Linked DNA regions of Drosophila melanogaster. The protein of the gene in region 2 interacts with the protein of the main gene of each other region in a pairwise test. Each region holds a gene or a part of one and is shown on either strand. Other genes may lie near its edges. The genes, in order: CG32137, Lim3, CG12496 and Nup133.

Region 1 (8,059 bases), on a different chromosome or scaffold from region 2:
AAATGAAATTATACGTACATATATAGATCTTAATTATATTTTTTACAATTTTTTTAAAATGTGAAGACTTATTCTGTCTTATAAACATTTTGCTTTCCGCAGAAGATTACTCACATGTTTTTTTTTTAATTTTTATAAAAAAAGTAAATAACGTATTGCTACACACCAGTTTAAAACCGCCTGATATTTTCGAGCTAAAAAATAGTTATAAAAAACAGAATACTTTTTTGCTGTACATTTGTGGTGCGGCTTCTGATGTGTGTCGCCTTGGTTGCGGAGCCCATTTGACCAAAAAGTCATTCTCACGCCCAGCTTTCGGCCAGCATTTGACCTTTTTACGGTAGTTTGTTTATGGCCTGGCACTGGGTTTTGTAATACGGTTGCTGTTTACCTTTTCGGCCATAACACTTTTTTTTCTTTTTTTAAAGTGGGCTCGAGCGCAACAGGCGGCTTTAAGCCGGACTTCTCGCTCTGCTTGCAGCGACCGCCAAAGTGACAGATCCTTCACCAAATCACCAGAGTTCACCACTGTCACTGACACACATATCTGGTAACATACCTATTCTTCTCCAGCTCCAGTTCCAGTTCCACATCCAGTTTCAGTTCTTTTTGTCGCCGCAGAAACCAAAACTTTTGACCATAAAACGCCCGGTAATGCCCCAACTTGTTGCCGTTGACTCATGCCGAGCGCTAAAAACAACATAATTATTGTACATATTAAAGACTTGATGTATGTGCGCACCAAATTGTGGACTAAACGACATGTGGTATACCCTAAAAAAAAAACAGATTAATTCATTAGGAATTTACTCGTAATCATTATTCATATAACGTATGAAACGTAGAACGTATGCATGTTGTATAAACCAGAGATTCCTCTAATGGTATGATATATGATGGTATATATATGGTATATGATATATGTTTACTCCCTTATCGAACAGATATGTTAAAGCTATCAAACTGATAAGTATATTAAAACTGATAAATATTTCAAGGTGCATAAATCGATTGAATTGTTTATATTAGCCTAACTACGATGGCTTGACCAAAATCACTAATAATTAAATGAAATTATAAATTGATTAAATTCGAATACAGTTCTCGAGGTTTGTTTTTCATTCGCTGTAATCCTTCAAGTGTAACAAACTCCATGGCCAAGTGGAATTTCTATGTTATTTCTGATTTGCTTGGAAAAAAAAGTGACACCAACATGCCAGAAAAGTTAATCAACCTCCCATAAGAACAACGCAAAATAAAAAGAAGCAGAAGTAATTAAACAAAAAAAAAAAAACTGCGATACAATGCAGAGCAAGAGCAAGACCGAAACCAGTTTAGGTGGGCTAGGTGGCTATGCTATGGTACGGATCGGTATGGTAGCCGTGCCCCAAGATGGATGAATGGATGGCTGGAGTGCCGAGCTCAACAAGAGCGAGAGTGTAAGACAATAAGGCAGCTCAAGAACACTTGATTGCAGGTGAACTGCAGCATGGAAACCGGAGATGAACAGAGCCACGAAGAATTCCAACCAGATGCCCCACAAATGTTCAAAGGAAGACACGCCACTAACCCTTCCTCATTAGGCAGTGCGGCAAAGTTATAGTTATAGATCGATCTGCGCCGGAAGCACGGAAGTTTCACTCACTGGCCAGCGAAAATCAAGTAAAACACAAAAAAGTTAGTTACGCCTGGTTAGGCCATCATCCGAAAGCTCAATTTGGTAAATGGCCAAACAGTAGCCCATACAGTAGCCCAACATAAACAAGCGGCCACGCAACATCAACATTATGGATGGATCTGAAGGCGGAGACGGTGATGGTGATGGCGTTGGCCACCAAGAACAATGGTCTGGTGTCGGTCTGAAGCTCATCTTCATCTTCACTTGGCCCGGCCACTTGAGTGTCTTATTGTGCATGTTGTTTGAGAAGTTTGGCGCTGGGCGGTGAGGAGCCGGCATGACTCTGGTTTAGTACCACGCACTAGACGGTCTGACCATGTCTACGGCCCCCTCTTTAGAAATCTTCCTCACTTGGATGCACTGGAAACATTGGGGTCACATACTTGTACCTATTTTCATTTTCAAAAGCAGAATGTGCTAGAAGTATGATTATAGGGTATGTGATAGAATATTTCATTTTCATAACTGATTTTCAGTAATTAGTACTGATCTCTAAATAAATTTTAAAGATACATTTACTTTGAGCTGTATAATATATAGATTAAATTCAGATGTTAATGAAACAATTTGAATATTTTTTACAGCTTGTAATTACTTCCTTCCGGAGCACTTTAGCTTTTTAACATAGACCATGTCTACGGCCCCCTCTTTAGAAATCTTCCTCACTTGGATGCACTGGAAACATTGGGGTCACATACTTGTACCTATTTTCATTTTCAAAAGCAGAATGTGCTAGAAGTATGATTATAGGGTATGTGATAGAATATTTCATTTTCATAACTGATTTTCAGTAATTAGTACTGATCTCTAAATAAATTTTAAAGATACATTTACTTTGAGCTGTATAATATATAGATTAAATTCAGATGTTAATGAAACAATTTGAATATTTTTTACAGCTTGTAATTACTTCCTTCCGGAGCACTTTAGCTTTTTAACATAATTTCGATGCCTAGAGCAAAATGACCGCGAATCTAAAAATTTGAAGAAATAAAGTTCCTGCAAACATATACCCATTAATTGCTTAGTGTATACCCATTGTTATTGCCATTCTTGGGTGCCCATTGTTTGTGTTCTTGTCGTATGTAAATTTTGCATTGAAATGTGTACGCTTGGGTACATGTGTGTATGCACGTCGTGGTTTTTGGAGGTCCAGGTCTCTGGCCCTCCTCCCTTTTGGCCACGCTCCCCAGTGCCCCCCTGCCCCATTCGAAACGTCACTCCGTTTCATTATTGTTCACTTGGCCGCTTTCGTAAGTCGGGCCCAATGCAAAACAAACGGCGAAGAGCAGTCAAGAGAGTAGAGCCGAATCAACCATATGTCAGTTAAAAGGGAAGGAAGTCGGAGCAAAAGAGCGCCAAGTGAAGCTTACCTTTGGAGCTGTGTTTTGGTTTTACCAGGGTTGCCAGGTAAGAAGCGATTTCATGAAAAATTCATCCACAATGCTAAGGCTTAAATTATTTCCTTGTAGATTTTAGATCTACATTTTTAAAGTAAGATTACTGCAAAATCTCTGTCCAAAATAATCCAAGTAATCATGACATTTTATTTTTAGGTTTGGCTATCGAGATTTGCCTAATACGATATGCCTATCAGTAGCTGAACAGAAAACCAGTTTTCCAAATGTTTATTGACTTAAAGAAGATATCTTAGGCCATAAATAGTCTATTATCAGTTATCTGCGTCCTAAATTGCAATTTGCTATCTTAGTTGCTTTGTAACCAATAATATTACTCGACTGCGATTATCGCCCCTGCTTCGTTGCTATTATTCGACAACCCTGGTGGAACACTGGTAACTCTCTTTGTTAACCGCCACCTAAGAGAGCCAACCGATGTTGTTGGTTGTTGTTGCCAAGATACGAGGCTTAGCCAGTCGTTCGTCGTCGTCGTCGCTTGGTTACTCATTTGTTTTGCCAATTTTCGTAGCACGGCGGCCTCAGCGCCATTCAGTTAGTAACGAACGTTCGCGCCAGACACACGTATCCGCCACGCCCCCGCGAAGCCGCCCTCTGAAAAGCTGGGGAAAGCCAGAAAATCGTAACCGAAGCGAAGCGAGCGCGCGTTGTACGGCATCGGAGAATCCGAAAATCGGAGAATCGGACATCGGACATCGGAAGTTCTGCTTTGGAGTGGAGCAGCGTCGTCGTGACCGAGGTTTCTGCCCTCATACATATACGGATATAGTTAGCTATATATATATATATACAAATAGTTTAAAAGATATATAGGGCCAGACTGTAGCGCGCTTGCGAAAGTGGAAAGTATCTGCTGGATACTTTGGATACTTTCCGTTTTGGGGGAATTAATTAGACCAATATATCCCATGCAATCCGCGCGTTATTTTTGTTGTTTTGTCAATAATAATGCCAAACTCTGGCCAAAAACGGCATATATAAGCGGAAATGCAAAACAATAATACCAACAATTTGAGCCAAATCGGTTGTGTATTTGTGAACTGTGCTGTCTGTGCTGCTTCCAAAAAAAAAATCAAAATAAAACGAATAAAATAAAATAAACACAAAGCGCACATAAATAACAAAATAAGTGTTGGCTAAAAGCTTAGCCTGAAGCGTATTATACATTTTAACAACAGTTGCTGTTGCTACCAAAAGCAGCTAAGCGTGAAGTGCTTGCCAAATGAATTTTCTATATAACAAATGAAAACGGCTAAAAAATATATATAAGTTTAAAAAAACCGGACCAAATTTTAAACGAGATCTGTGGACTTTGAGAGATTCTAGCCACCTTCGTTTGGCTCTATTGTTGTGTTTAGTTGGCCGATAATGTTTTAAAAATCATTTAACATTAATTGTATATATATTTGGGTATTTCGAAATTTAAACCTAGAGCGGAGACTCATACTAAACTCATTGGTACATCCTCGCTAACTAAAGCAACCTCTGTAAATAAACTTTTAATACCCTTAAATTTAATGGAACTACTACTGAAGTTCTTTTTGGATAATCTGCCTTAACAGCCTTATAAATATCCACCCACCTGTATAAATCCACGCATGTCAATACGCCCCCCAATCCGCAAGAAACTTAAACCCTATTTGATATCCAAGCCGCATGAAGCTTAACTAAAGACTAACTTAACCCTCTTGCTTAACACTGTAGTTATATGTTATCCCCCCCCCCCTGCCCAAAACACCCCTGACCCTAGCAAAACCAAAAACCGAAAAAAAGCCCCAATAACAAGTAACTAAAAACGTGCTGGCAAACGCTCAACGTGACCGTCGCTCCTTTTGGCCAACGATTAGACCCGTCTTGGCGGGCATACATATATATATATACCACATTTAATGCTAATTCTCATTACGGCTGTGTACTTATACTTATATATCTAACCGAAATCAACTGCAGCTCAAACACATCAGTCGCTTTAACCACGGGTCTGCTCTCTTTTGGGAGCAGCTGGTGTCCATGGAACTATGCTCGGATATATCATCGTATCGCCGCGCCAGCTAATGCTAATCCTACGACCAGATCAGAGCCATCTGAACACCTAACCAACGATAAACCCAACTACCAAAATTGTGATCTCTGCATCGCACTAAAACCTAAACTGATATTAATTGCATCCAACTTACTGTGCGTGTGTGTGTGTGTGTTATGTCTGTAAATTTGGTTCGTTGCTATTATCCGTACCCGTAATATCACGTACACACCATACCACACCTACCCGCCTGAAATAAGTCCAAGCCTGCCCGCTAACGATCATGCATAAACCAAAGCTAGCGAATGCTATAACCGCTGCCGCCATTGCCTCATCCATATCCACCAAAAACAACAACAACAACAGCATCGTCGGCGGCAGCAGCAGCAGCAGCTCCGGTGGCAACAAATCGAAGCGACCACGTCAGTTTGGCCAATACTCGATCGGAGTTGGAACTGGAGCTGGAGCTGGGGGGCTACTCCGGTCGGACGACTCCGGCTTCGACCACCTCGACTATTCGTCACTAATTGGGGATTCGATTGATTTAGAGCACTACATCAGCGCCATGGAGGCACGTCGACACGACCAGGAGCCGGATGTTTGGGCCCAGCTGCAGCAGAAGGAGTCGGACATCCTATTGGCCGCCGAACTGGGCAAGGCACTGCTCGAGAAGAACGAGGAGCTGGTCAAACAGCAGGAAAAGCTCATCGAGGACTATTCGAGCAAAATTGAGGTGAGTCATGAAACACATATAAAGTTAACAGGTGGAATTGCCATTATAAATGGCAAACAATTGAAATGGAAGTCAGTTATTTGGGGGAAAGGAAAATTGGTTAGAATTAAAAGAAATTTAGGAAGAGGACATATAGCTTGGAAGGTACTTTAGTGACTTAAAAGATAGGCAATGCATATTATACTTTAATACACTTACAATTTAAAAGATCATAGAGATGATAGTTATGTATCTCTTGAATATGGTTAAGCAGCAATTTAAAGAATTGGGAAATGAAAAAATTAATTTTTGTTATGTTTTCTAAATGAATGGAAGAGATCTAAGCACTCTTTATTATTAGTTTAATGATATCTTGCTTATTGAGGGAATGCTTTCATGTTCTTTTATCTCTATTCTCTATCTGATTTACTAAAGTGTGAGCAATAAACAAAATAATCACTTTGCTTCTATCTCTATATTAGCTACCAATTGTGTGAAACCAACATTTGTAAATTCAGACCCATTTATTATTTTCCCTTTTTAAGCTCCCTACCTTTTCCTCTAATGATTTCTTGAACAATCTAATAGTTATCTCTAAATGCCGGCGCATTTATCAAATCGGCAACGGCAGTTATACCTGAGTACCAGAATTTTGATTGACTCACCTGATGATTTGCATTGATTATTGGCGGACATGTGTTCGTAAATGACCCCCTCTATTGACGCATTGCTGGCATTCCCAGGTCGGGAGAATTAAATAATACATATACAATATGGATTTTTTTCGAGAGCTGAAACACAGCACCTGTCCAATGCAGCTCTGTAAACTGAACACACAAACTCCCCAAACTGTCAACTGCAATTTATATTGTGGGGTGGGTTCTTTAACTATTTAGACAAACAAAAATGGTTACAGTCATGTCACTTTATGGACGATGACATACTGTGTGTGTGTGTGTGCGCAGTAAACTACTGAACTATATAGTGTATCACGTAAGGGTATCGATTTTTGTTCCATCACAAGTTCTACCCTACACATTTTGTATGAAATAGCTGAAGAGCTCTTCTGAAGTCTCTCTAAAAATTGGCTTTATCGAGCACTTTCCTGATAACATGGCAGGAAAAGCAAAGTCTGTTCACAACACCTCCAAATGTTTCCAAAGTCTATGTCTGCCGCCCGACCTTGAACCGCTCGAATGGGTGGTTTCTGTGTGGGTGGGTGCGGTTCGTTCGCCTGTCACCTGTTCACACACACGCACACACACACACACTACAGATACTTCCAGGTAACTGACAATAGAAGAAATAGAAGAAGATAGGTAAACATAAAACACCCGTTCCAGCAATCGCTCCAAGTGAAGTTCAAGCCGCGGCTCAAGTTCGTGGCCGTTCACATTAGCATATTGGTTGCCTCAAACTTAGTTACCTCGCTTTTCCATCCTGAACCGATAGTTAGGCTAATGTACTTTTGTTGACCGACCGGTAAACAACAATGTATTCTTATCAATTAGGCTTCAACGCCGATTAATGGCAATTCAATGCACGAAAAGAGAACAGGAAATGTGAGGATGGTTTGGGGACCACCTGATGGTGTGAGTAACCCAAACAGAGGACACAGCAATGCGTTGAACTTGAATAATTTCGTTGGTACATATTTTCCGTGGGTTTGGGCCATATTTACGTAGTTGGCTTAGTCACTTTAACTGGGTTTTGTATTCTCCTTTTTTTTTTTTTGCTTTTGTAGTTAAGCACGTTGAGTGACTTCATCTTCATTGAGAAATGAAAGTGCGAAGGCCAATTGCGGGGGGGCTAGTCGCGTAATATCCTGGATATTTAGTCAGATGATGTCATCGTGAAAATTTTGTACATATGTTCGAGTCTTTTTGAGTCATTTTTGATATGCAAAAACTTTTGTGCAATGAATTTTTTATTGAAAATCGAGAACAACTCCATTGCTTATTAAATTTATATGCCCTCATTGAGTTTAAAACCAAAATTATACAATATATATGTATACATTATACATTGTAAATATCAAACTAAGTTCAATAATAATAAAATGCTCTCTCTGTTCGAGTTTAGTTTTTACGTGTCTTCAAAGTCTGTGTTTTAATCCCGTAAAATTCCCATTAAAATAATAGTTTGCTTGCTCACCTCATGCATTCCATAACCATTAACAATTTAAATGAAAATCGCTTGGCACCCGAAAAAACCATTAAGTTTATTAT
Region 2 (7,886 bases):
CCAGTTTCATGAAGTGTGTAGTCAACCAGAACTCCAATCCTTTCCCTTGAAATGTGCCCAGATTTAATCATGATTAAAGTTCAGGTTGGTTAAGGTGTTTAAGATATCATACTGATATTATAATAATATATTATACTAAGAATACCTTAGATTTTCCGTTCCGCTTCAAATTGGACCTCTACCAAAAACGGGATAAGTCATTCCCGACTTACTGGATTTTTCCAAAGTGCACGCACTTTGTCAGGGATGCAGTGGATATTAGTGACACGTGGCGAAGGCTCGACCAAGGCGATCCGCAGGTCCCAGCACATGCGGTTTCCCGGATCCGTCCCCCCCCCCCCTCCTTTCCACCCAGGAATCTATATTTATTTGTTTGTAATTACGCGTGTTCTAAAAACGAAATCCCGCCGCACTTGAAGCCGGGAAAATGGCTAAACGGCTGAGCCTGCTCTTTTCAATGCCCGAAAACTTCGGCCGGGAACACACGTGCAGTGGACGACCGCCTCCACTGGTGACCGGGTATTCCCAGCGCATTAGCAACAATGCCGGAGACATTTGGAGTTTGTCAACAGTTTCGCATTGGATTTGGTTACGGCTTTGTTCTCATCAGCGGCGCGTGTCCCTGTCCGATGTCATCTTCTCCACTCTCGACGCGACTCAACGCGACTCGACGCGACTCGACTCGACTCCAATCCGCAGTCAGTTGTCAACTTTCTGGGCTGGCTTTTAGTCCGGGGATTGCCGATTGATTTGGCGTGGGATTTTCGAGTGCGGCACATGTATGAAACGAAATCATAAATGTGACAGGCCTGGATCATAAGCAACTCGCACAAAGAAATCCCTTTGACCATCCTTGAGCCATCTCAAGCAGCAATAAATCATCTCCTTCGGAGCCATTCACCATGCATATATCCTCAAAGAAAACTTTCTGCCGGAACTTTGCCAGTTATATATATTGCAGGAAGTCCCCTCGGACCATACATTTATTCCGTGGCGGAGTGCATAAAAAAGCAGGCGGTCCAACCGAGCAGCCGCAACACTGAGCCCTCCTAAAAGGGCATTCGAAATGAGCTGCTCGGAGATGTGGAGATGTGGAGATGTGAAGATGGTGGTCTGCCACCGGGAAAGCTTTCGTATTTAATTGAAAAACACTTAAGCCCCAGTTCGGAGGAGCCAAAGCCAAAGCCAGGCCAACCGCAAGGCTCTTATGTGACCCTAAAAGACCGACCTCATAACCCCAACTCATCTTCATCACAAGACCTTTCTGGTCGCTCATAAAAACAAAGGGCGAGCGCAAACAAAAACTTTGCATAATTAAGGCGCGGCCAACACATGGGCAAAGTGTATTCAAAGGGTTAACTTACAGCAGAAGTGAAATATACGGTTTTAACATGAAAACTGTATTCTCAATATTTACTAAAGCAAAATTAAGAAACCACGATATTTTTTAATGTAAATACGACTATTCTCTCTTTCATTTCAAAAATTGATAAATTGATAAATAAAATTCAAAAATGTAATCTAAGTTTGAAAACCAAACATTTTAATAATATACTATTCTTGGCAAACATTTTTGTTCACTGTGCAGGAAAATCTCCTAGGCAGCCTTCAGATGGACAGGACTGAATCAAAGATGGCATGACTTGGCCACTTACCCTCGAGCGCCCGGTTCCTGGAAATTAAGGCGAGCACCAGTTCGGGATTTGGGTCATCCTGGTCGACAGCCAGGTGATTGTGGTGCGGATGTTGCTGCTGCTGTTGCTGCCCACCGACCAGGTGAGATGCCTGCGGCGTGGGTGGCAATTGTTGCTGCTGCTGCTGCTGCTGATGGATATGCGGCTGATGTTGCTGGTGATTATCCATGGCTGACAGGTGCTGTTGCTGCTGCAACGGATGTTGCAGCTGCTGATGCGGATGTGGCTGCTGCTGAGGCGGATGCTGGAGCTGGTGCTGATGCTGGTGGTGATGATGTAGCGGTGGCGGTGGTTTCAGGGTTTGCATCATTGCTGAGGGGCCGGCGATTTGAACACGCGTCGTATGAGTTATATGTATATTTCAGTTAGCTTATTCCAATTGGCACACGTTTGTATCTTTAGCCCTGTTTGGTGTTTAAAAAGCAATCTTTGTGTTAGTTTACCGCACTCGTTTCCCGTTTAGCGTCTAAACGAGACTCCGCTAGGCGGGATCGCTGTCTGCTCGATAACTGGCATTGGTTTGTGCCCAACAGTGGCCCGGTTGACTGTTTTTCCCTTATCGCGGCGGTCTCTTTGGGTTTCGGTTTCTACGGTAGAATCTAGATTCCAGTCTTGCCACTCGGTTGGGCTCGTGCTCAGTGCTCGGCTGCTCTATCAGTTGAAGTAGCCAGGGACTTGAACAATTTGAATTTGTTTGCGATACCGGGGCACACTAGACCATCTATTGTTCGGGTGCTTTCGACCAAGTGCAAGGCGGGTAAACTTTATGTAAGCCGAGGATAGGGCCAAACTGATCGGTAGATATTCAAAAGACCGTTTGGCGCATATCTATTCATCGTCTATCACGAGGAGAATTCTCGTGCGAAGACAACAAATCGGATGTGCACTATACTATCTATCAAAAAACGGTCAATGTCCAAGGTTTTTTTATCAAAAACGAACTGCTAATGGTTCCCAAATCAAACAAAATAGTTAAAAAAAATTTTTGTGAAATATTATAACGTAGAATATTTGATAGCAAATATCCATTTAATAGTTTATCAGTATTTGAAAACTAGTTAAGATTGAAGATAATTTATTTTATAGAAATTCAAACAAACAAAATAGGTAAACAATTTATTTTTTGTGAAATATTAAAACGTAGAATAATTAATCGGAAATTTCCATTTAATAGTTCTTCAGTATTTGGAAACTAGTTAAGATTGAAGATCATATATAAATGAAACAAAATACTATGAAATTTATTTTATAGAAATTTAATTTTAGGAGCAAAGCTCCTAAGATTAAATTGAAATTAAAATGGCTAACATCGGGAGTTGGAAATCGCACATTAATCTTATTTTGATTGCCTTAAATCTTAAAACAAACAAAATCCAATCGTGTTAGTATTAAAATTCATATACTAAACATTTTAAAATCCTAAACGTATCTTGGTTTTGTAACTCTTCTCAACACAATTTGCTCAATAGACTTTTTTGTTTTAAGGATCTACTGTTAAAATGTAACATTCCATTTTTTAATCAAGCTGGCTTTCTTTTCAATAGTTCCTCAGAATTTTAGCCTTTTTATTGAGCCTTTCGTTATGCGACGGAATCGTAAAACCAGTGGAAATGATTTGCATTTACCCTATTAAAATTTTTTGCGTCACTTTAACACTCAACTCTAGTATTTGTTAACTTTGTTAATTATTGGCTGGTTTTTAATTTTCTTATTTCAACATTTCGTATTATTTCGTTTGAATTTTCTGCGGCACTTGAACGCGATTTTATGCGAACGCCATTTTGGCGACGGCATCGGCAACTTTAACGGTAACGGTAACGGATTCGGCAGCGAAAACGACGACGGCAAATGCGAAGCCAGTGCGACAAAATGGCGGCGGCATGGCTAACGGTGTTTGCCCAACGGTAAGGTAACGGTCTGGAAACGGTAACGGTGTCGGTAACGGTACGGCGGCAACCCTGGACGCGGCAACACTGGCAGGCGGCTGGTATTGTTGCTGGTGGGAATCCCCTCTATTTGCCGCGCTGCATCTTTATTTATTTTCTTGGCCGTCCAAACTGTCGTCTCTCCTTTTTACTTTGCGCACTTTTTCACGCTTTTTCTCGACTGTGCGAGCTTTTAACGCTGTTGTTTTTTTTTTTTTTTTTTTTTGTTTTTTGCCTTTCGTCTTGTATTCGTGTGCCGTTTGCCGTTTGCCTTTTGGCCGCCCACATGGGTACGCCGTGCGTATACGTACTATCTGTGGGTGTGTGCGGGTGTGCGGGCGTGTGTTTACCAATTGATCCTAATGTGACACAAATGATATGGTAAAATGCATACAGCCAGCCCTGAATGGCAGGACAACAATGGCAACAAGGCGGCGAGGCGACAACGCCAGCAGCGACAACATTTTTGTGCTTCTTTTTGGAGGCCGTGCGCATGTGTGTGTCGCTCTCTGGCGATGCCCATTTGCCCGAAAAGTCCAAATTCCAAGAGCATTACAATATTTGTAAAACGCAAAAACTTTAGCCTCGTCGAAAAAAGAAGGTGTGGAAACTTTTTTTTGTTTCCCTCTGCCTCAAGAAGCTTGAGCTGCAAAAGTGCAGGGGCAAAAAAAAAATGAAAAAAGGAAAACAGCACAGTGGGTAGAACAAAAAGCCAACCAACGTCGAGCGCGACACCTTCGTTGGCCCCAAAACAACAGTAAACAGCACTTAAAAGTCAGCAGCGACGTCGACTGAGGCGAAACAAATATGAGAAACTTAACTCAAAGGTCCAAGTCAATACGCGGCGCGCGGTCACCAAAAATGCGGGGTCTCCACTGGAAAACAGGCACCGCCCCTTTATATTGAAAATCGCTGGAAATCGGCCGACGATAGAGTCCAAAAGCAACAAGAACTTCCAGGCATGCGCAGGCAGTGGCCATTATCTTATCGCCCCAGCGTCGCCATTAAAATGGGGCTGGGGTGGCCATACGCTTCTATTCCTAGAGTTCGATGTCGTTCCAGCGCCGGCGCACTCGAAAACCCAAAGCTGGCAGGGTGATGGGAGAGGGGGGAAGTTGCTACTCCATGCCCGAGTCACCCGTTGCCCATGAGTTCGCTGTATCTGCATAGGATTCTCGCTGTCTGTGTAGTTTCGGAACCCCTATATCTATAGTGGATACTTGCCACCCGTCCCGAAAACCCCTTAAATGCGTTGCGTCTGCAAAAACGATTTTGTTTTCGCATTTATTTATGAGCCGCTTAGAGCGCGCCAAATACTTTGCCAAACACTTTGAACCCCAACGCCATGCTCGAGAACCCCACGCCCCCGCTCCCAACGGATGACCTCCGCCCACCCACCGAAGTGGACACTAGCAGGGAAGGTCGTTTGTGGGTTGGGTTCCGCGCTGCGGCGGAGCAAGGAACGCGAACAGCTGGAGTGCGTGGGTCGCTCGAAAAGTATGCCCGGTCTGAGAAAGTCTGCATAAAATGCCAGATACAAAGTACGTATAAATATTAGAAAAAAACATGATTCCATCTTATGCTGTAAAATGTATTACTTCATACTTATACTAAGACTTTTGTATCATCATCATTTACAGCTTGCCTGTAATATATATTGGATACTATTACACAGAAGCTAAACTATAAACTGTATAAACTATATTACATATTTCCTTTATTAAACATTCAGCATTTTCTTATTGGGCTTTCGTTACGCGTGCGGAACAACACGAAAACACGGCATACCCTTGAACCCAACTAGTACCGATTATAAAAAAATATAGGGTAAGAGCATAAAAATGCAGCGTGACCCTGAAACTGAAACTGATCGTGAATGGAAATGGAAATGGAAATGGCTGATGAAACCGATGCACTCAATCCAACGCGATCCCAATCTATGGCATCCCAGGCGGAGCTTCACTTCCGCGGTTACCAAATCGACTTTGACTTTCAAATTTTCCAACGCTTTTGTCGCAGACGTCTGTCTAATGGAGCCGTTAATGGTTAGACACATGAAGTATTTTGCCAAATGGGCTCGACTTGGGACGGTTAATTGCTGATGATGTGATGATATGGAACCGGATCGGCAGTGGGTTTTGGGGGGGATGGCGGAGATTTAGTAAGCAGCAGTGCTAGTGTTTGGATAACACATTTTAATAGACAATTAACAAGCAGTTTGTTTAAATTTTCTTCACCGACATTTTTAACTTTTGTCCGGCGATCTTGTTTTCGCTATTGTGTCTTTTGGTAGTTACATAAACATAAATCTCGGCAATGGGCCAGTCAGAAAGACAAAAAACTTGCTGCCACTGCACATTTTCACACATAGCCGGATTTTTGTTAACGTTGTTGGAGTTCCCCCCCAAACTTTTTATTGGAGGGTCTCGAGATTCGGAGCTCATTGAGACTTGGTTAAAGCGCAGCCAGCTCATTTGTAGATTCGAATGTCAGCGGTGAACAAGTGCGGAACCAGCGGAGCGGCTAAATACCCAAATTCCCCCCCAAAGTAAATCGCGCCTTTTTTTTTGGATTAACCAGGATCATGGACTTTGATGAGTTCCGTGAATTTGGCCATGCCTCCATCGAGTTCCTTATCAACTATCTGAGCGGCATACGTGAGAGGTGTGTGTCTGGACTTTTATCCTTGGAGCGATGCCTCTAAATTCTGTGTTTCTTCCAACAGGGATGTCCTGCCCAGCACGGCTCCATATGCGGTGATCAATCAGCTGCCCAAGGAGATTCCCGAGCAGCCCGATCATTGGCGCGAGGTCCTCAAGGATCTGGAGAACATCATCCTGCCGGGTCTGACCCACTGGCAATCGCCCTACTTCAATGCCTTCTATCCGTCATCCTCGTCGGCGGGCTCCATCATCGGTGAGCTGCTGATCGCGGGCATCGGAGTCCTTGGATTCAGTTGGGTAAGCTATATACATATGTAAATGGTGAAAAAATCCAGCAGATTCTCCTTTTTTTAAATGAATATTCATATTAAATACGTGCGTGAATGTGAATGAATTAATGTGGAAGAACAATCATAAGCAACTTTCTTCATTGTGTTTTCTTAGAAAAATGATATAAAAAAAAAGGTCAGTTAAAACTTAAATTTCATATAATTACTTAAAAAAACTAATTGTATCTGAAAAGTGTTGCCATGATAATTAAATTCGGATAAATATAGCGAATATACACGTTTGATTAGCTTATGATCGTTATATATTAAAAACTATTAATACTGAACTTTTTTACTTTTTATTGTGATAAAGAGACAAATTTGAAAGAGTTTCATTTTAAGAGCCTTAAATTATTCACACGTGAATTTACAATTATTGTTCATTAGAGTCAACAACAATAACAACCAACAATAATCAATTGGTTTTAAAACTATAATTTCTGTCATCAATTTGCCTAAGAGAGAGGGGCTAAGAGAGCGCCAACCGACCAACAAAAAAGTGGGAACAGTTTGTGACCCAAAGTGATTTCCCACCAGCTATTGTTCGAGTGTCGTTGGTAACAAAATCTTTTGGCCAAATCAACGCAACACTTGAGAAATCCTTATCGATTCAAAGAACTATGCGATAAATATGCTCAGGAGATAGGCACTCAACGATTAAGAAAATTGCCAAGTAATTGTTTTTCTATAAATATATGGCACGAAATATACGAACCCAACTATAATCCCGGTGACCGATTCGTTCCCTAATCTCGCAGATTGGACACGCTTCACAAATCACTGTGCAGAGCAATCGGATATAGGTATTTTCGAAATTAATAGCTAAATTGAAAAAAAAAGTATTTGAATGGCACTCTCGTATAAAAGAATAAACCTATTACTATATACCCCTTTGTGTAAGTAGTATAAAATAGTACACACTCCTTTCTATAAACTTTCAACAGTATTTTAATGTTTTGATTATGTTAATTGAACAAACTTCGCATTTGAATTTTAAAGTATCAACGAATCAAAGCTAAATTAGTTAGATCAAAAGAATAAAACAAGTCAGTTGCGCCGGTTTTTAATGATTTCTCAAAACTAGCCAGATTGGCTGAACCGACAGCTCTGGAGGCTGTCCAGAGAAGTCGGAGTATAAAAGGCAGCCGTCACCGGCGATCGGTTTCAGAGTGAACCTCAGGCAACTTGGAGGAGCATCAACGGATCGGGAACTGAAATCGAGTTGGGCAAACAAATCAAAAACGAAAACGGGGAAATAAAACCAAAACAAACAGA
Region 3 (7,137 bases), on a different chromosome or scaffold from region 2:
CCGTCCGTGCTCGCGCTTGTATTTTTATATGTATCTGTATCTGTATCTGTATCTGCTCTTCATTATGGCATCCATTGTCTTGCGCTGTCTGCCTCAGACGCATCCTTTGGGTGTCCTTTCGTGTGTTCCAGTTTGCGCTGCCTCTTCTTTATTTTTTCAGGGTCACAATTCGAGTCTCAGTCGTCGTCCTTAGGAGAGCATCCCCCACCCCAAATGGCCAGGATCCGTTTGCGAAACTGTCTCGTATTTGACAGTTGACAGTTGGTCGACTTTTGAGTTGGAAAGTTATGAGCATAAACATGATATTTGCCAGGGGCCCGTGTTGCTATTGCCATTTGGCAATTTATCCTTTATATAGTGCCAGTCATTTTTAGTCCCCTGCCGCCAGCGAAAATGCCAGCGTAAAAGTTATGAAATCAATTAATCATTTCAGCTCATTTATGATTTAATGGCTTCACTTTTTTGTGGTTTCCGCTTAGAGTCGTAAAGCATGAAATCCCCACAACCTTTTCGCAGCGCGTTAATGAAGTCGCAAACTGGCACTTTCCTACTTTCCTACATTCCTACCGCCCAATGCATCGCATGGCAATATGCGAACTTTCCCCTTTCGCAAACACTTTCCCTCCATTATGCAAAACGCAAACAAAGCCGCGCGACAAGCATTTGATACACTTTGGGCACTTTGAATGCCATTTCAGGCGGCGCGCAGCAAATCAAATATCGATAAATTTCGCAAACAATACAAACACGGGCGCATTAATCAAATGCGGCAACAATAAAGCAGCCCTATCTGTTGGATCCAGCCAAAGTGGCCGATCTGCATGTAAGCACATATGCAAAGGCGTTCGAAGGGGAGGGTAATAGCGATCGAGCCTGCCAGAGACGTTCGAGTAGCTAATTCACACATTCAAGGGGTAAGTAAGCCTTGTCGCTCGCACTTAGCACTTGGAATGCACACACAATTGTCCAAGTAAACACGACTAACTTACAACATATGAGCTTAAAACATATATCGCAATCAATGGGCTGTTAACGTCAAGTCCTAATCTTAGGAGGTGCTACCTAGTTACTCTTCACATCTTAATGGTAAACGGGGTGAGCACGCATCTCTAGCGGATTCGCGAGTTCGCATTCGAGCATGCAAATCCCTCTGGAACCGCGGCGCAGGACCTCAGGAGCGCAGGACCTCGGGACGACGGCTGAGTGAGAGTGAAAGTCAAGTGGCTCTTGGCGACGCGCTCTCGCTCGAGCACGCGTGCAGGGGAAAGGGACGGGAGATGCAGCCCGGGCGGAGCGGTAAAAAATGCATGGGCAATTTGCATACAGCGATCGGGACTGGATCGTGACTTCGGGCTGTCCTTGAGGCAGGGTCCTTGGGCTCGTTAATTAAGCGTAAAATCGTCGCACACGAAATGCCGAAAATTCAAATTGAATTTGAGAGGTTTTCGTGTGGTTCTTTATCCATTTGTGTTTCGTTGTGTCCCAAAAAAACCGCAGAAAATGCGAGGATTATGGTAATTTTGTGTGGAAATTGCCGGTGAAGACTAGCCGGGATACGCCTTGTTAGGCAGGATGCTCGTTAAATCATATTAATCAACATGCCGGAATCCTTTCTTAGCGCTGGAAACTCTCTCAAAAACCCATTTAATCCTTTTGTGCGGCTGTGTAAACAGCAATAACTCAGCGCCACAAAGAGAATCGAAGGACTCGGGGACATAACGAGGGCAAATCGAAGGGAAAAGAGGTAAAAAGTAAGCAAAAGCAGGAGCGCATTTCGCAAAGTAAACGTTGAAAAAGAGTTGAAAAGTTGAGAAATTCGCCATTTCAGTGGATGGAACGGGGTAATCGATTAACTACCCCAGCACCCTTTTTGTGTCCCTATCCAGGATGAAAGCCGATCGGAAGATAGTCACATGAAAACATATGAAACAAAACGACTTTCACCACAAAAAAGCCGAAAAGGATAACGTGCGAAATATACGATCCCCGTTAGCGAAAATCTTTCAGCAATCGATCGCAAATAAAGATATCTCCAGGGGACCAGAACCCATTCAAAGATGCCTTTACATGCTGAACTAGATCAGAACGTCAGATAGCAAGCCACGTCGGTCACGGACACTTTGAGTGATCCAAGTCCAGGAGATGACGAGCGCCGATCACTTGAACGTCACTTAGGATCGCTGGTCGATGATCACTTGAAGATCACTCAGGGATCTCGATGATCACTTCATCTACAGCTGGTCAAGAGCCACATATGGGGGCAGTTATCTTTGATCTTGTCATCGGAAATATAATCTACTTATTGGTTCCATATTTCATATTCATATGGAGGACAGCGGCTGTGCTTTAAAATATAGATCACTACAAAGGTTATGGGAACCATTTCCTTTTACATTTACATTTCAAAGTTAAATCCATACAAGTTGTGAATTTGCATTGCATGAGGCCCATCTATTTGTAGAAAGAACACTTATTAAAAAGTTGATAATTTGATAATGCATACTGTGTACAAACTTTTCCCCTGTTGGGTGAGCAACTGACGCTTTGCACAGGACTTTTCCCAGAGTTTGTAACGTTTTTCTAATGCTTCCTTCCGGAAGTGGCAAACATTTTCAATTAAAGCCGCCGAGTATATAAATTGCATTTGCGGCCGCTAAAGAGCCGCAATTAATACTGATACCGCGCTACGACAAGTGGCTAAAATGACGAGGAGCTGTCGGCCAGGAAGTTGGACTTGGCATCGGCTAATTAGCCGGCCAACCTGACTTCCCTTCTCCCTTTTCCGTTCACTATTTTCCAGCCTGTTGCTGCTCTAAATGTCCATTCAAATGAGGGGGAGACAAGGGCGAAAGGAAGCAGACTTCCTTGAGGGGAATGAAAGCAAATTTAATAACCAAGCGCTGGCCGATAGACATCTAGATGTCATTTTCGTGTGGTGGTGCTGTGGATGAGTGCCTGGATTGGAGTGGGTGATTCTCGGCCGGTACTGCGAACTGTGGGAAAGGACGAATACCTCCAATACCTCCATCAAAATATCAGATCTCGTTGGCATAGAGATCATACTTTCATATTCTAAGCTAAGCTGCTGATATCCTCGAGCTTGTTGCTCAAGTTCCTCGAGATCCAAAGACAATTTGCTACCACACACATCCGTTGGCCAAAGAGAGTCTTTTCATCCAAGGAGAGAACGCCGGAGAGAGCGAGTGTCCTTCTGCCCGCCGGGGTGCCTCTTGCGCAACAACCCCTAGCCCCGTAACCCCTAGCCATTAACCCCTGAGCGCCGAGCGGGTATAAAACGCAGCCCGCTCCCCGTACCGCTTCAGTTTGTCAGCGAGAGCGGTCGAGAGCAGAAGACTAGCAGAGTCTAGAAGTACATCTTTTTTTTTTGTGCACCAGGAGCAGCAGAAACAGAACCACACACAACATGCTGAAGTGGACGGCATCGGCGCAGCGCCTGAACGAGATTCCCGTGCACGATCAGGATGCCAACCAGCCGCAGAGGAGGAGGCTGCAGAGGAGGCAGCGCCGTCAGCGGAGGGCCACCATTGCCAACAAGGAGAACGTGCCTGACACCGTGGGCTACACCTCCACGCCAGTGCCCATTACCCGGCTGCGCAACAGTCCCCTGGTCCTGGCGCCGCTGAGCGATATCCGGAATGTCACCCCGGAGGCGGTGGTGCGCAGTCAGGCGCCCCAAAGGGTACAGAGTGTGCGATACGCCACCACATTGCCACGTTTTGCCGAGGACTACTCGCCCAACGGACTGCCCAGTGGTCAGCACTTGGCGCTGAGGGGCCTGGCTCCGTTGGATCCCTTTCTGGGCCAGCCGCGCTATATTGTAGGCTCGGGTGCAGGAGTTAACAAACTCAAGCAGCGTAGACTGGACGAGGACTTTGTGGCCACCTTGGAGCCGGAGTTGCAGGAGACGGCAGTGCCAGAGCCACCCACCCCCAAGGTGGAAGTGCGTCCAAGCACACCGCAGCCCGCCTCCACGCAGATGGGTGATCAGACCTTGGATCGCCTAATCGATGCCATCTTGGATTCCGCCTGCAAGGCGAACGCCAGCAGCAAGAAGAAGCCGAGAAGGTCCACCTTCAATCTGCGCAGACGCACCTTGGTCAAGCAGCAAATGGAGTCGAACTGCCCCCAGGAGGTGCTGTCGCCATCCTACGCACCTGGAGACGATCCGGCCTCGGATCTGAGCTTTGGCCTGGTTCCCCTGCCCATGCACAACCTGATGCCCACTCCGGAACCGGCATCGCCCCTGGCCAAGATTCCTCACAACTTGCTTGTCCAACTGGCCACTCCAGTGGCCCCCAAGTCTGCCCCCTGCGACAACACCTTCTGCCTGGAGACTCCAGTCAAGGCCCTGAAGAGGACCCGCAAGGAGATCGTCGCCAAGGAGTCCCCCATTAAGCGCTACAAGGTCGACGAGCGCAATTACTTCGAGGTGGGATTGGCCCTGCCCTCGTCTATATATGTCTGAGCAGAGGTAATTTCAAACAGATCCTCGGAAAGCCACAAAAATGAGAAGAGAAACTAAATGCGAGATGGAGATGAAGATGGAGACGAGAAAGCGAGCAACGCTGACAAACGGGGGGAAAACGCTTAACTATGACGCTTAACTAGTTCCTAAGTCGTAAACTAATCATCTTTCAATTACTGTACATAATTTCTTAGGCCACCTTAATCACTATTTATTCCAATTACTAATATAACCATTTTTTTTTTTGCTGCTGTTATGTAGTTTTCGAATATACCTTTTTTTTCATTATTTAATTTTAAACAAATATGAATATTTATTGCTACTTTAAGTTACCCAAATAATTATTTTTTCAAAATAAAAGCATTAAATCAAAAACAATGGAGTACACTTTTCTTTTCTTTTGAAACGGGGAAAACTTTATATATCAGCTTATCATCATTAATGTCGCTTTTTTGAGTAACTTTGGCTACTTCCATGCGTACTGCCCAATATAGGGATATGGGATTGTATTGATTTCAAAATGGTGATATTTGAAAAAGACTAGACTATCTTCATAGTCTAGAAATGTTTTCTCATGTATCCATTGGAATCTACTCTTTAAATGTTAGGTTTATAGTTGGTTTCTGAACTATTTTCGAGATACGAACAAATATCATTTTTGTTGTGCCATAGCATCGCATCGAGTTTTCTGATGAATGCGAAACATCTGCGGTGACCTTCGTCACCTACGCAATATCCCAGCTCGTGCCGATTGCATTTTGACCTGCCGATACGTACAACATATATTTACACAGTTGCTTGACCAAGCGATTTGCTTTGCTTTTCCAGGCGACCAAAACAAACAACGGCGATGCAGGTTGGGAACTGGGAATAATTGAATGCCTGACAGGTACAATGGCACGCCCCGGGATCTACAATCAAGAAGAAAAGAAGAAGTCAGAGGCAGCCAACAGCTGGTCCACTCCTTGTTTCCGAGGACTCAGGACTCTGCGTCCGCTGTGCTGCTCAATTGGCTATTTTCCCATCGAACTATATGACGATATGTTATTAAATATTCATTGTGACCGCTTTTAAAGAGAACACATTTTGCGGACACTCGCTTATCATAATTTAAATCCATTTCAAAATCATATTTTACAGCAAATGAACTTTTTAAAGTCATCGAAACGAAATCAACCCCCGATTTTCGCTTTTGTCTGCGAGCTTTAGAGCTTAGAGTAATCCAACCAGAAACCGTTTTGCACATATTAGTATCCTATTAAAAAAAAATCGTAGGCACCCTTGCAGATGTCCATGTTTCGAAATCAAATTATGGAAACTGCAGTGTTCTGCTAGATCATCCGTGAAAAATCTAGCTATGTTTCCATGCTCCGACTTTTGGCACACACGTCATCTCTAATCCTTCGGCACATGACACTTGTTGGCACGTTGACGCCCTCGCACACACTTTTTGGCACTGTAACTCGATTTGAGTGCGGTATGGATAGTATCCTTTACCTATACTCATAACCATGCCAGTACCTGTCGCTGTTCCGCAGGAGCCCTACTGTAAAATCCCAAATAAGAAGACTTTACTCGTTGAGTTTTTGTAAGAAACTGATTTTATTTGGAAATATCTTTGGTTTAAATAGGTGACATGAGAATCGCATCTTAAAGTAAATGGCCTACGCAGAGGCCTAAGTAAATAGTCCCCGCCTTATCGAGGTCCCACGCTCGGGCACATCTGCCTATCTTGAGCGGCGAGGACCTTATCTGTGGTCTCCCACTAAGGGACTATTTTAGGAGGCGGGGAACGATCTCAAGTGACTGACTCATGTAGTGTGCACTTAAATTACATGTTTTTGAGCAATGCACCCATGTCGCCTTAGATAACAAAATCCTAAATATAATTTATCGCTCTCGATTCATTTACATAAGATATGAACGGAGCCCAAAATTGTAAGTCTTTAAATATATTCGTGTTCATGTGTGAACATTCTGCCAAAGGGCCAGCAAGCTGAGATGTACATTAGTATATTAGTTGCATTTATAACAGTAGTGGACTGTATTTATTTGATATATGTTCATTTATTTTGCAACTAAGATTTCAATGGGCCTAGTTTTTCTGGCTTTTAATTTTATTGGATTACAATTATGGTTTATATTATTTTTAATTCAACAATTTGTACTCAATTAACTTATTTTAAACATTTTGCTTTTTCTATGTAGAAGTACATTTTCTATTAAACAACGATATAGTGGACTGTATATTTTTATTTGTTATATTATTTTATTGTTTATTTACTATTGATATTTATAGTACTGGCAACGGACCTGCAAAGGTTATTGCTTGCATTCTTTGTTGCACAGCACATTTCCGTATGAAATATATTATTAATACTATCATTAGTATTAAAGCAATAATTAATCCAGCATGTCCGGAAATATGATGGAAATGTAAATCTTTCAATTTTTGATGGTTCTCTTTCATAAATTTAATTTCATTATTCAATCGTTCAAATTCCTCAGTATGATTTAATATTGATAGTTTCAGCGGATCCCAAATAATCTTCGGCGCTTCACTAATTTCTCCTATATAAGGTGTTGATAATAATTCTTCACTTTCGGACTGAATGTTATGGTGGGCAACTAGAATTTTATCGTCGGTTCTT
Region 4 (8,385 bases), on a different chromosome or scaffold from region 2:
ACAATTTAGAGCCTATAGCAATAGTTTCTAAGGATAGGTGTTCTTTTGCCGCAGTTCCAACTCTTCGTTTCACACTCACATAAAGGTGATGCCCATGCAGCACTGGAACTGTCGCATCTTGTTGCGTCGCGCACGCGGAGAAACACCACCCGGAAAGACACGCTCCGGTCCCTGATACGGCGGCAGGACAACATATCCGGAGCCACTGGGAACGGCATCGGTAAGCGGCGTTGTTTCGTCCGTCATAATCAAAGTTAAACTGATGCGCACCGGCGACAAATGCAAACAGCACAGCTGCCAGTCAGGCCGACTCTAGAGTTGCCCCGAACACACTTGGTGGGCTTCCGACTCTCCGTTCGCCACACTTCAGATACTTTCGCCGGCAGAGACCGGCTGTGACAAAGCAACTTAGTTTATAATATTTTATAATGCCTGCGTTTGAGCGACGCAACAACAAGGCAGGCAACTGTCCACCGTCCAAGAACACCAGCCATCATTTTAAATTCTTAACGTAAACTTTAATAGAAAGACATGTGAGGTGCTTGATTAGAGTTCCATGTCGTCTGGCTGTTTGAACATGTCGGCCACATACTCATAGGTCAGTTTCAACAGATACTGAAACGGTTTCTGCTGCGGCAAATCGCCGAGCTCCACGCTCTCCAGAAAGTCTTCCATGGGTGGCAAAACGTTCTCGGAATCGTTGCCCATCAGCTGCGAGATTTCGATGATCTTGTAAAAGAGCAACTTCTGCATGTAATGCACCGCATTGTTGGGATCGTAGTCCGTCCAGTTATCGCGTTTTATAGCTGCACACCAGATCTTGTGCCGCATGTCGTACGGCTGTTCCACGTAGCTCAGAAGTTCCAAAGCTTTACGGAATTCCGTTTCGCTGGCAGTTTCATTTTCCTCGGCGATGTAAAGCTAATGATAATAAGACGGTAATATTTATAAGTGAATTAAGTATATTAATTTGTGAAATCTTACGCTGATAATCTCCTCTGCCTTGAGCACCTTCTGTTCTGCTGGATCGAAGCCAAAGCTTTCCAGTACGTCATGGCCCAGTTGCGATTGATATTCGACCAGCGTAAGATCTGCGTTGATCTTTTCAACTTGGGCAGTTAAATCGGATTCGGCTGCCGCGAAGGCGGCCAATTTGGCCAGCGACAGCATAGACTTCTTGCGCGCCACAAACTCCGTTTCGCATTGGGCCAACTCGTACAGCACCTTGGCCGCCCGCTCGAAGTCGCCGTTGAATATTAGCTGGATCCACCCAAGGGACGGATGGTCACGCATGAACTGAGCCAAAGCCGTCTGGTTGCCCTTGAAGCGTTCGAATACCTCGCCGTGCCGGTTCTGGCGCAGATGCCAATTGATGGCAAACTGTGAGAAGTCATATTCCTCGTACTTGCGGGTGTAATCTTCCAGTCGCTCCTTGTCCTGCGTCTCATCGCAGATAAGCACCAGGCTCTGAAAATCGAGGTACTTCTCGGCGATCTTTGCGGCGTACTCGTATTGGCGATCTTTGACTACAAAATAAAAAAAAAGACATAAGAAATATTTAAGAATTTTAAATTATGAATAGAATACACAACTTACTTAGCACGGAGATGAGTTCCCTTCGCTGAGCCTCAAACTGCTGCTGCAGAACATTGAACTTTTCCGTGTCGCGCACGCTTTTTAAGTAAGTCTTCCGTCCGTCCAAAACCAAATCAATTAGTTCGAATATCTGTTGGTACAATTGCTGCTTTAGCTCAGTCTCGCTAACGCAGTGGCTGCCATAGCGAACGCTAATGTCAATGAGGCGAGTCAGCGTGTCACGAACTCCCGCACTGCCAGCCATCGCAGTCCAAGGTAGATTCTCGTAGGAAGGTAGTTTTTCGTGGCTCAGTCTAAAGCTGCTTGCGTGCTGCTTTCGATACTTGAACACTTGTCCCAAAACGTCTAGGACAATGGAGTTTATCTCGTTGACAAAGTGGGCCACTGATATGGTGGTCTGATTCTGAGCAGCGATTCGATCGTCAGCAATATCCGCCAGGGCCTCGAACACGTTTTGAAACCTAGACAGCTTTACGTAAAATATATCCTGGTAAGTTAGGCTGCCCTGAGGCTCCTCATGCCATAACGCTACGGTGGCATCGATAGCCTCTTCAATCAGCTTGGGCAGTTTGGTCTGAATGGATCGCAGAGCCATAGCAGCCACTATCTTCTCGCTGATATCGGCTAGAATACAGCCGGTGGGTTTCAGCGAATGGCTTCCGCAAGGTATGACATTTAACTGGAACGAAAAGTATTGATTTTGTTAACAAAATCAAATAAATAAACAAATAAATATTTTGTCCTTATACCTTGTCCCAAACTAAACTGGAATGCAGAAACGTTATGAAGTGCTGGAAAGCAATGATCTTGTCCCTTAGTTGGTTGATAATCTGCATTGAACGAGAGCTGCCGATGGCATGCCTATTCATTTCCTGATCTGCAAGTGCCTCCTCCCATCGGGGATCGGCTATTGGTATATCCTCCGCCAAGTCTTCGGCGATGGTAATAACAATTCGATCCAACTTGTAAGCATCCATGGGTGCACCACTTGGATCGGCTGCAGTGACATTACGAAGCAGCTCATCGACGATCGTCTTGACCATATTGCTGTTGCGTTTCATGTGATATAGGAACGCTGCCTTTAGTTGACCAACTTCATCGCTTAGTTCGTTGTACATTTCATCCGGATCCAGTTCGAAAAGGTGAAGATTATTAGTACTGTTAGTCAAAGCAGAATGATCGGCAACTGCGAAACTAGCATTACACGAATTGGGAGCATATAAATCTGGCGTGTTGCAGGAGCTCATGTTCATCATTTCAGTACCATCAAAATCGCCCGGTGTAATAGAAACTAGGCCATGTGTGCGACTAAAGAACAATGGCAATTGGCTGCAGATGACGGCACTCAAAATGCGATCATCGTGCTGATGGAACTCGATCTTTTCCGCCTCTAGCTCTGCTGTCGGCACCGAGTTGGTCAAGTGCAGAGGATACACAACTTTAGAAGTATACAAATAGATGTGGCTGCTGCCTACTACAAAACGCACGCTGAGGCAATCCTCCTCAGTCTTGGCACTAAAGAATTTGTTCATATTGAGCGGCGTGAACGATTCCAGAAGCATTCTTTCAGCTTGAGCAGTGCCAGTCACTAAAATACTTAACATTATATACCATATCAAGATTTGCTGTCACATACTTCTTACCCAGAGCGTAGCACATTTGTGGAGCGTGAGCAGCATTCACAGCTCCAGCCAGTATATAAGCTTTGTTCTTAACCACGTGAAAGTCCAACAGATGGAGATCGATCTCCAAACTATCCGCTGGGAGTCGGAACTTCCAAAAGTTCGTTATAAACTCTTCGCGTATCCTGCGCAACATATCCGCATCCTCGTACAGAAGGTTTTCGGTGTTGCCATTGTTGGACAGACTCCAGCGCTGGATTGCACGATCAGAGAGCACGGCCACAATGGTTTCTCCACTTTCTAAATTGCTCTCGCAGCACATGCCGACCAAAGTCTAAAAAACACTTCATGAGATTTTTGTCCCATGCTGGACGAAGATACTTACTTGATCCTTGTCTGCACCCGTGTTCATTCCAATCAAAATGGAGGCAAACTTTTTGCCAAAACCACCAAGGAAGCTAGTGGCAGGCTTGATAGTCTTATGGTGAAGTGTGTAACGTCCGTTGGTCAGTCCGACTCGCAGGAATACCAGATTGCAGGTGGTTGTAACGGCTAGGTAGCCCTGCTGCGTTGGTAGACTGAGCAGCTGGACAAACTCTTGGCCAGTTAAGATGGAAAGATCCACGGAGTTCCCATCGTGCGCAATCGATGACCAGTACCGAACTTCTCCCGTGGCTGATACCGCTATGCAGGAGGCCATTTGCTGACCCTCCGTCTGGAAAACACTGATTAAATCACTCTTGTGACCCAGGTCACTGTAAGGTAAAGTCAATTCACGGCACTGGGCCAGACCACCACCACGTCTTGCCAGTTTGCCCACACGAGGTGGCGAGCCCGACTTGGCCGTGTCCTTATACTGCCAAATCAAGAGGCGTCTGCCTTGGACAACCTGAAAAGGTAATCGTACTGATTGCTGAACCAGATACAATGAGAGTTGCTGATATATTACCCAAGCCCAACCGTTTTGCGTCACTTTGGCTGTTACTGTGCCCGCTCCTGGACCTGCGAAGGTTAGTGCCTCATTGACCACCACCGGCAGTGGACAACCGAAGCTCTCTACCGAATTGTAATCGGATCGGATGCCGGCAATGGACTGAGTGGAACGCACCGACAAGCTGAGCCGGCTGAAAAGGATTGTTTGATGAGTGGGAAATTCCAGGAGAATAAGTTAGCACATACCTGTTGGTCAGGGCAGTCCTTTTGAGGCTCCCCGACATCTGGGCGCAACTGGCGCTGCCGCCAAAAATTGATTTACGCGTGCTGTCTGCCGAGGCTGCTGGCATGCTGTACCTTCGTGCACCTGGTGAAGATTCGCGCGATATGCCGTATAATTGCTTCTGCAGATTTCTCTCCATTTTTGTGCTGGCTCTTATTTGGGAAATGCCTATAAATCAAAAATAAACAACTACTTTTGCAACAGCAAACAATCTAGCCGGCATGTGTGTGAATCGATTTTTGATGTCGCAATATCGAAATCACAGCTGAGTACATTTGAGTTATTTATCGATTAGAAGTCACGACATTATACACAAAGAACACAAATTTAAATATAGGAAATTATTTATACTACATAAATGTATTTTATATACTATATACGATGAATAATTAAACTTTGGTAAACAAATTTTTAAATTAATAATTATATTAACTAATATTTGTGAGTCCATCTCTAAGACAAGTTCTACACGATGCCATCGCTAAGTCAAGACTAGAATTATTTCATAGATTTTCGTAAACAAAGCGAAAAACTCGACATAGATGGCCACCTGGACGCAAAATGAGCCGACAGGTGTCACCAAGCGCAGGCGTTGGAATCTGGAAGGTAAATCTCTGAGCTTTGATTGATACACGTTCATAAAGTGAAGATGTTTTCCCTTACAGATCGTGCCTCCTTGAACAAACTTAAGCATCACATCGCCGAGGAGGGATGCCCCCAGATGCAATACGATCTGGCCAAAGAGTTACTCGATAATTCCATAGGTGAGTGTAAGGATTTGCTCGAGAATTACAAGATAATGAAGATTGCTATGTCCGCAGTAGAGCCCAATCTTGCCAAAGGCAATCAGAGCCAGAAGGCCGTCAACTGGCTGGTGAGTGCAGCACACAATGGACACGAGGATGCAGTCAAGCTGCTACGCCAGTGCTACAACGATGGCAGCGGTATTACGGCAGAGAATACGGACGAAGTGCGTCGCTGCCTGGCTATGACGCCTGGTGAGCGGGCTGCCAGAAAAGCAGCCCGGGAGCTTTTTGCCTGCCTATCAAATGGAAACGAGCATATAACGCCCAAGCAGCTGGAGCGCAAAATGCGGCGCATCTACAATCTGCAACGCAAGCGGCGTCGACGCGATGATGACCGCTCCTCGTCGAGCAGCGAGGGCGAGCAGGAGCCGGAGTGCGAACCGCTCGAAGATGTGCCCACCATTGACCTAGCCAATGTGGAGCGACGCCGCCTCATCACCGAAGCTCACCTCGTTTCGGCAGCTTCCAATTACAGTGCCGGACAAATGCCCAGCGTTAATGATGCTCTCACATTATCCGTCCCGGATCCTAGGAGCTTGGACCATGTACCCTGCTTCTACCGCATGATCTTCCACCCGCTTATCTTCTTCACCCTGTTCTACCACCGGCTGCTTAACTTGATTGTGTCCATACCCAACGTCATCCCTCTGAGCGTGCGCTGCAGCGTGCTCGTTGCAATCTCTTGGTGGAGCAGCCGGCATATGCTGCCCCTGGTCAGCTATTATCTCAGTCTGGGCATCATGATCTGGGCCACGTGTAAGATGCTGAAAACCAAACAACAGTTCGTGGACTTTCGCATCTGGTCGGGACTGTTCCTGAGCTACGGGGATCAGAACATCGAGGCGGACATTGCGGAGCATCGCTTTTTACGCAACAATATGAAGCCGTACCTGTACTTCTTTTGTGCCTTCATTTGCAACCTGATTGTCTACCCGTTGGTCACAGACGCCTGGCTGCCACACTCGGAGCTGACTATAATCTCTGGAGCCTTGACCTTCATCACCATGTGCGTGTCCATGTACGCCTCCTCCCACCAACTGCCTGACTGGCTAGTGATTGTTTCCTTTGCCGTAAATGTTCTTGCCAAATATCCGTACGAAATGGACGAGGTTGTGTCTACGCGCTGGCGCTTTCTTGACCTACGCGTACCTACTTTCTCATCGTTTGTCATTGGCAATGGCATTGAATTCTGTTTGAATTGCCGCACTGCCTTGTATCTCTTTATTCCGGTGCTGCTAATTATGATGGCCAAACGCTCCCGTTGGCATGGAGTCTACACATTCCTCATCCCGCACTGCGTCACGCTCAGTTGGCTGCAAGTGTGCATAGCCACCTCGCAGAGTTCCACCGTTTTTGGAGTGATGCGAGCAGCCCTCGGCTTGGCTGGAATCGTCCTGTTCCTGCCTCTGTTCGGAATCGTGGCACTTCTGGTGCCTGTCTTCGTGGCCATCGATAGTTTAGGACTGGCTAGTGAGCAGCTTCGGTGGGGCAGCACAGCTCTCGCCTGCGGGCTGGTAGTGGTCCTGTCCTGCATTTTGGCGCTTAACCGAGCTACCCAGAAATACATTACAATGCTGCAGGTAAGTGTAATATGGTAAGGTTTTGTTCATATATTAACTAATACCTTTTCAGCTAATCACGGCGATCACAACAGCGTGCTTGTTGGTCTTACCCTATATGACATCGAGTTTTAAGGATACGCCGCGCTTCAATGCCATGCCCAGAGCGGGTCTGCACTCGCTTTCCGAGACGAATACTCTGCCCTGGGATCGCTTTCATGCACTTTGTGCTCAACCTGTCCACGAGCAGCCGAATAAGATAAAAGCCCAGCTGCGTTGCTCCCTTCTGAATGGAATGCCCGTGATATGGGAGGGCAGCGTCACCAAAGTGGAAATCTCGCGGGTGTCCAATTTTTTGGAGGATACCATTGCGAACTATTTGCCCGTTTGGCTGGGCAGGATGCTGCGCTGCTTGCATGGCGAGAATATATCGCAGCACTTCAAATGCGATCCCAAATTGGATGCGCAGTGCGAGGAGTGGCGGAGCGTGTTCAAGACATTCAATGCTCAGAGCGGTAGTTGCACACTGCAGCGATGGAATCGCTACGAGTACGAGCTGCTGGTCAAGGTGGGCACCAAGAGGAGTGGCCGTCTACTGGGTCGTTCCACCACCACAGATGTTATCCTACGAGCTCACCATGACTTTGGGAACTTCACACGGCTCCTAAGCGAGGGCGATGTTGTACTATTCTATGGAATCCTGCACAATTCTCGGCTTTTGGCTGACAACGTGCAGGTGAAGCTGAAAACCATCGAGTGTGTGGAGTGCCGGTCGCGGGATTTGGGTACGGCCAGCATCGAGCGAGTGGTGGCCGCTTCACCCATGGATGCACGCCTCCAAGATTTGATGAGAGGCATCAAGTATTTGTTGAACGCTTTGTTGAATCCTTTAATTACGTTTAAGTAATTTTCATTAAATTAAAAAACACAGGAGTATGAGTTTCTTGTAATCTGCTCACCCCATTTTTTTTACTTTAATATAATAGATACATATGTATTTATTTAAACTGAAAAATATTTACGAAATTATATTGGTTGATTATGATAGTGTTGTAAAACAGCTTTTCAATTGTCGTTTTATTGGTTCTTAAAAATATATAAAGATCCTTATCACACGCATTATTTTTTGCTTTGTTTGTATTTAGTTAAATATGTTATCGGAAGGTAACTGATCCACACCTTTGACATTCCATTTGCAAGAGTCCCGAGTTGTGAGCGTCTTTTGTGGAGATGTTAGCGAATATGGAACAGGTGTTTCTAGGAAATCAACATTTTCCAGGCACTTTAGCGAAGCAAACAACTCAACATCCGGGTCTAATTTCAGTTCAATCTCCTCATGCAGCTCACACGGCTCCTTGCAGATGAACTGCTCGGGTGCGTTGACCAAGAACCGGACTCCCTCGAGCAGGAGCTTCCTATGAGCGGGATTATCCACTCCCAGCATGATCAGATCGCTTACGATAATAAGCTTGCAGCGTTCAATGCTGTCGTACCCCCGCTCCAGGAATTTACCAATGTACTTCTCCATGGTCAATAGCACCAACCAATCGCGCACAGCCCGTCCACACATCCTAGTTCTTCTATTA

The links.
Region 1: the proteins of Lim3 (region 2) and CG32137 interact in a two-hybrid assay, tested with the Drosophila melanogaster proteins (one large-scale study listed by BioGRID).
Region 3: the proteins of Lim3 (region 2) and CG12496 interact in a two-hybrid assay, tested with the Drosophila melanogaster proteins (one large-scale study listed by BioGRID).
Region 4: the proteins of Lim3 (region 2) and Nup133 interact in a two-hybrid assay, tested with the Drosophila melanogaster proteins (one large-scale study listed by BioGRID).

What each region holds. Positions count from the first base shown.
Region 1 is NT_037436.4:13,935,624-13,943,682, forward strand, and holds the start of CG32137 (uncharacterized protein), read left to right. Parts: upstream 1-3,626; 5' UTR 3,627-3,835; intron 3,836-5,046; 5' UTR 5,047-5,402; coding exon 5,403-5,852; intron 5,853-8,059. UniProt on the Drosophila melanogaster protein: Functions redundantly with BicD. Involved in formation and/or development of mechanosensory organs during metamorphosis.
Region 2 is NT_033779.5:19,104,068-19,111,953, forward strand, and holds the start of Lim3 (Lim3), read right to left. Parts: upstream 4,361-7,886; 5' UTR 3,320-4,360; intron 2,209-3,319; exon of another isoform or gene 2,099-2,208; 5' UTR 2,005-2,098; coding exon 1,656-2,004; intron 1-1,655.
Region 3 is NC_004354.4:2,407,084-2,414,220, reverse strand, and holds CG12496 (uncharacterized protein), read left to right. Parts: upstream 1-3,319; 5' UTR 3,320-3,424; coding exon 3,425-4,486; 3' UTR 4,487-4,856; downstream 4,857-7,137.
Region 4 is NT_033777.3:22,686,888-22,695,272, reverse strand, and holds Nup133 (nucleoporin 133kD), read right to left. Parts: upstream 4,667-8,385; 5' UTR 4,574-4,666; coding exon 4,398-4,573; intron 4,343-4,397; coding exon 4,168-4,342; intron 4,108-4,167; coding exon 3,604-4,107; intron 3,553-3,603; coding exon 3,240-3,552; intron 3,185-3,239; coding exon 2,346-3,184; intron 2,276-2,345; coding exon 1,597-2,275; intron 1,527-1,596; coding exon 985-1,526; intron 922-984; coding exon 547-921; 3' UTR 501-546; downstream 1-500. Other genes in the region: cd (cardinal), read right to left, coding at 80-246; wfs1 (wolfram syndrome 1), read left to right, coding at 4,977-5,040, 5,100-5,198, 5,256-6,820, 6,873-7,706; CG17625 (uncharacterized protein), read right to left, coding at 7,941-8,369. UniProt on the Drosophila melanogaster protein: Probable component of the nuclear pore complex (NPC). Plays a role in NPC assembly and/or maintenance.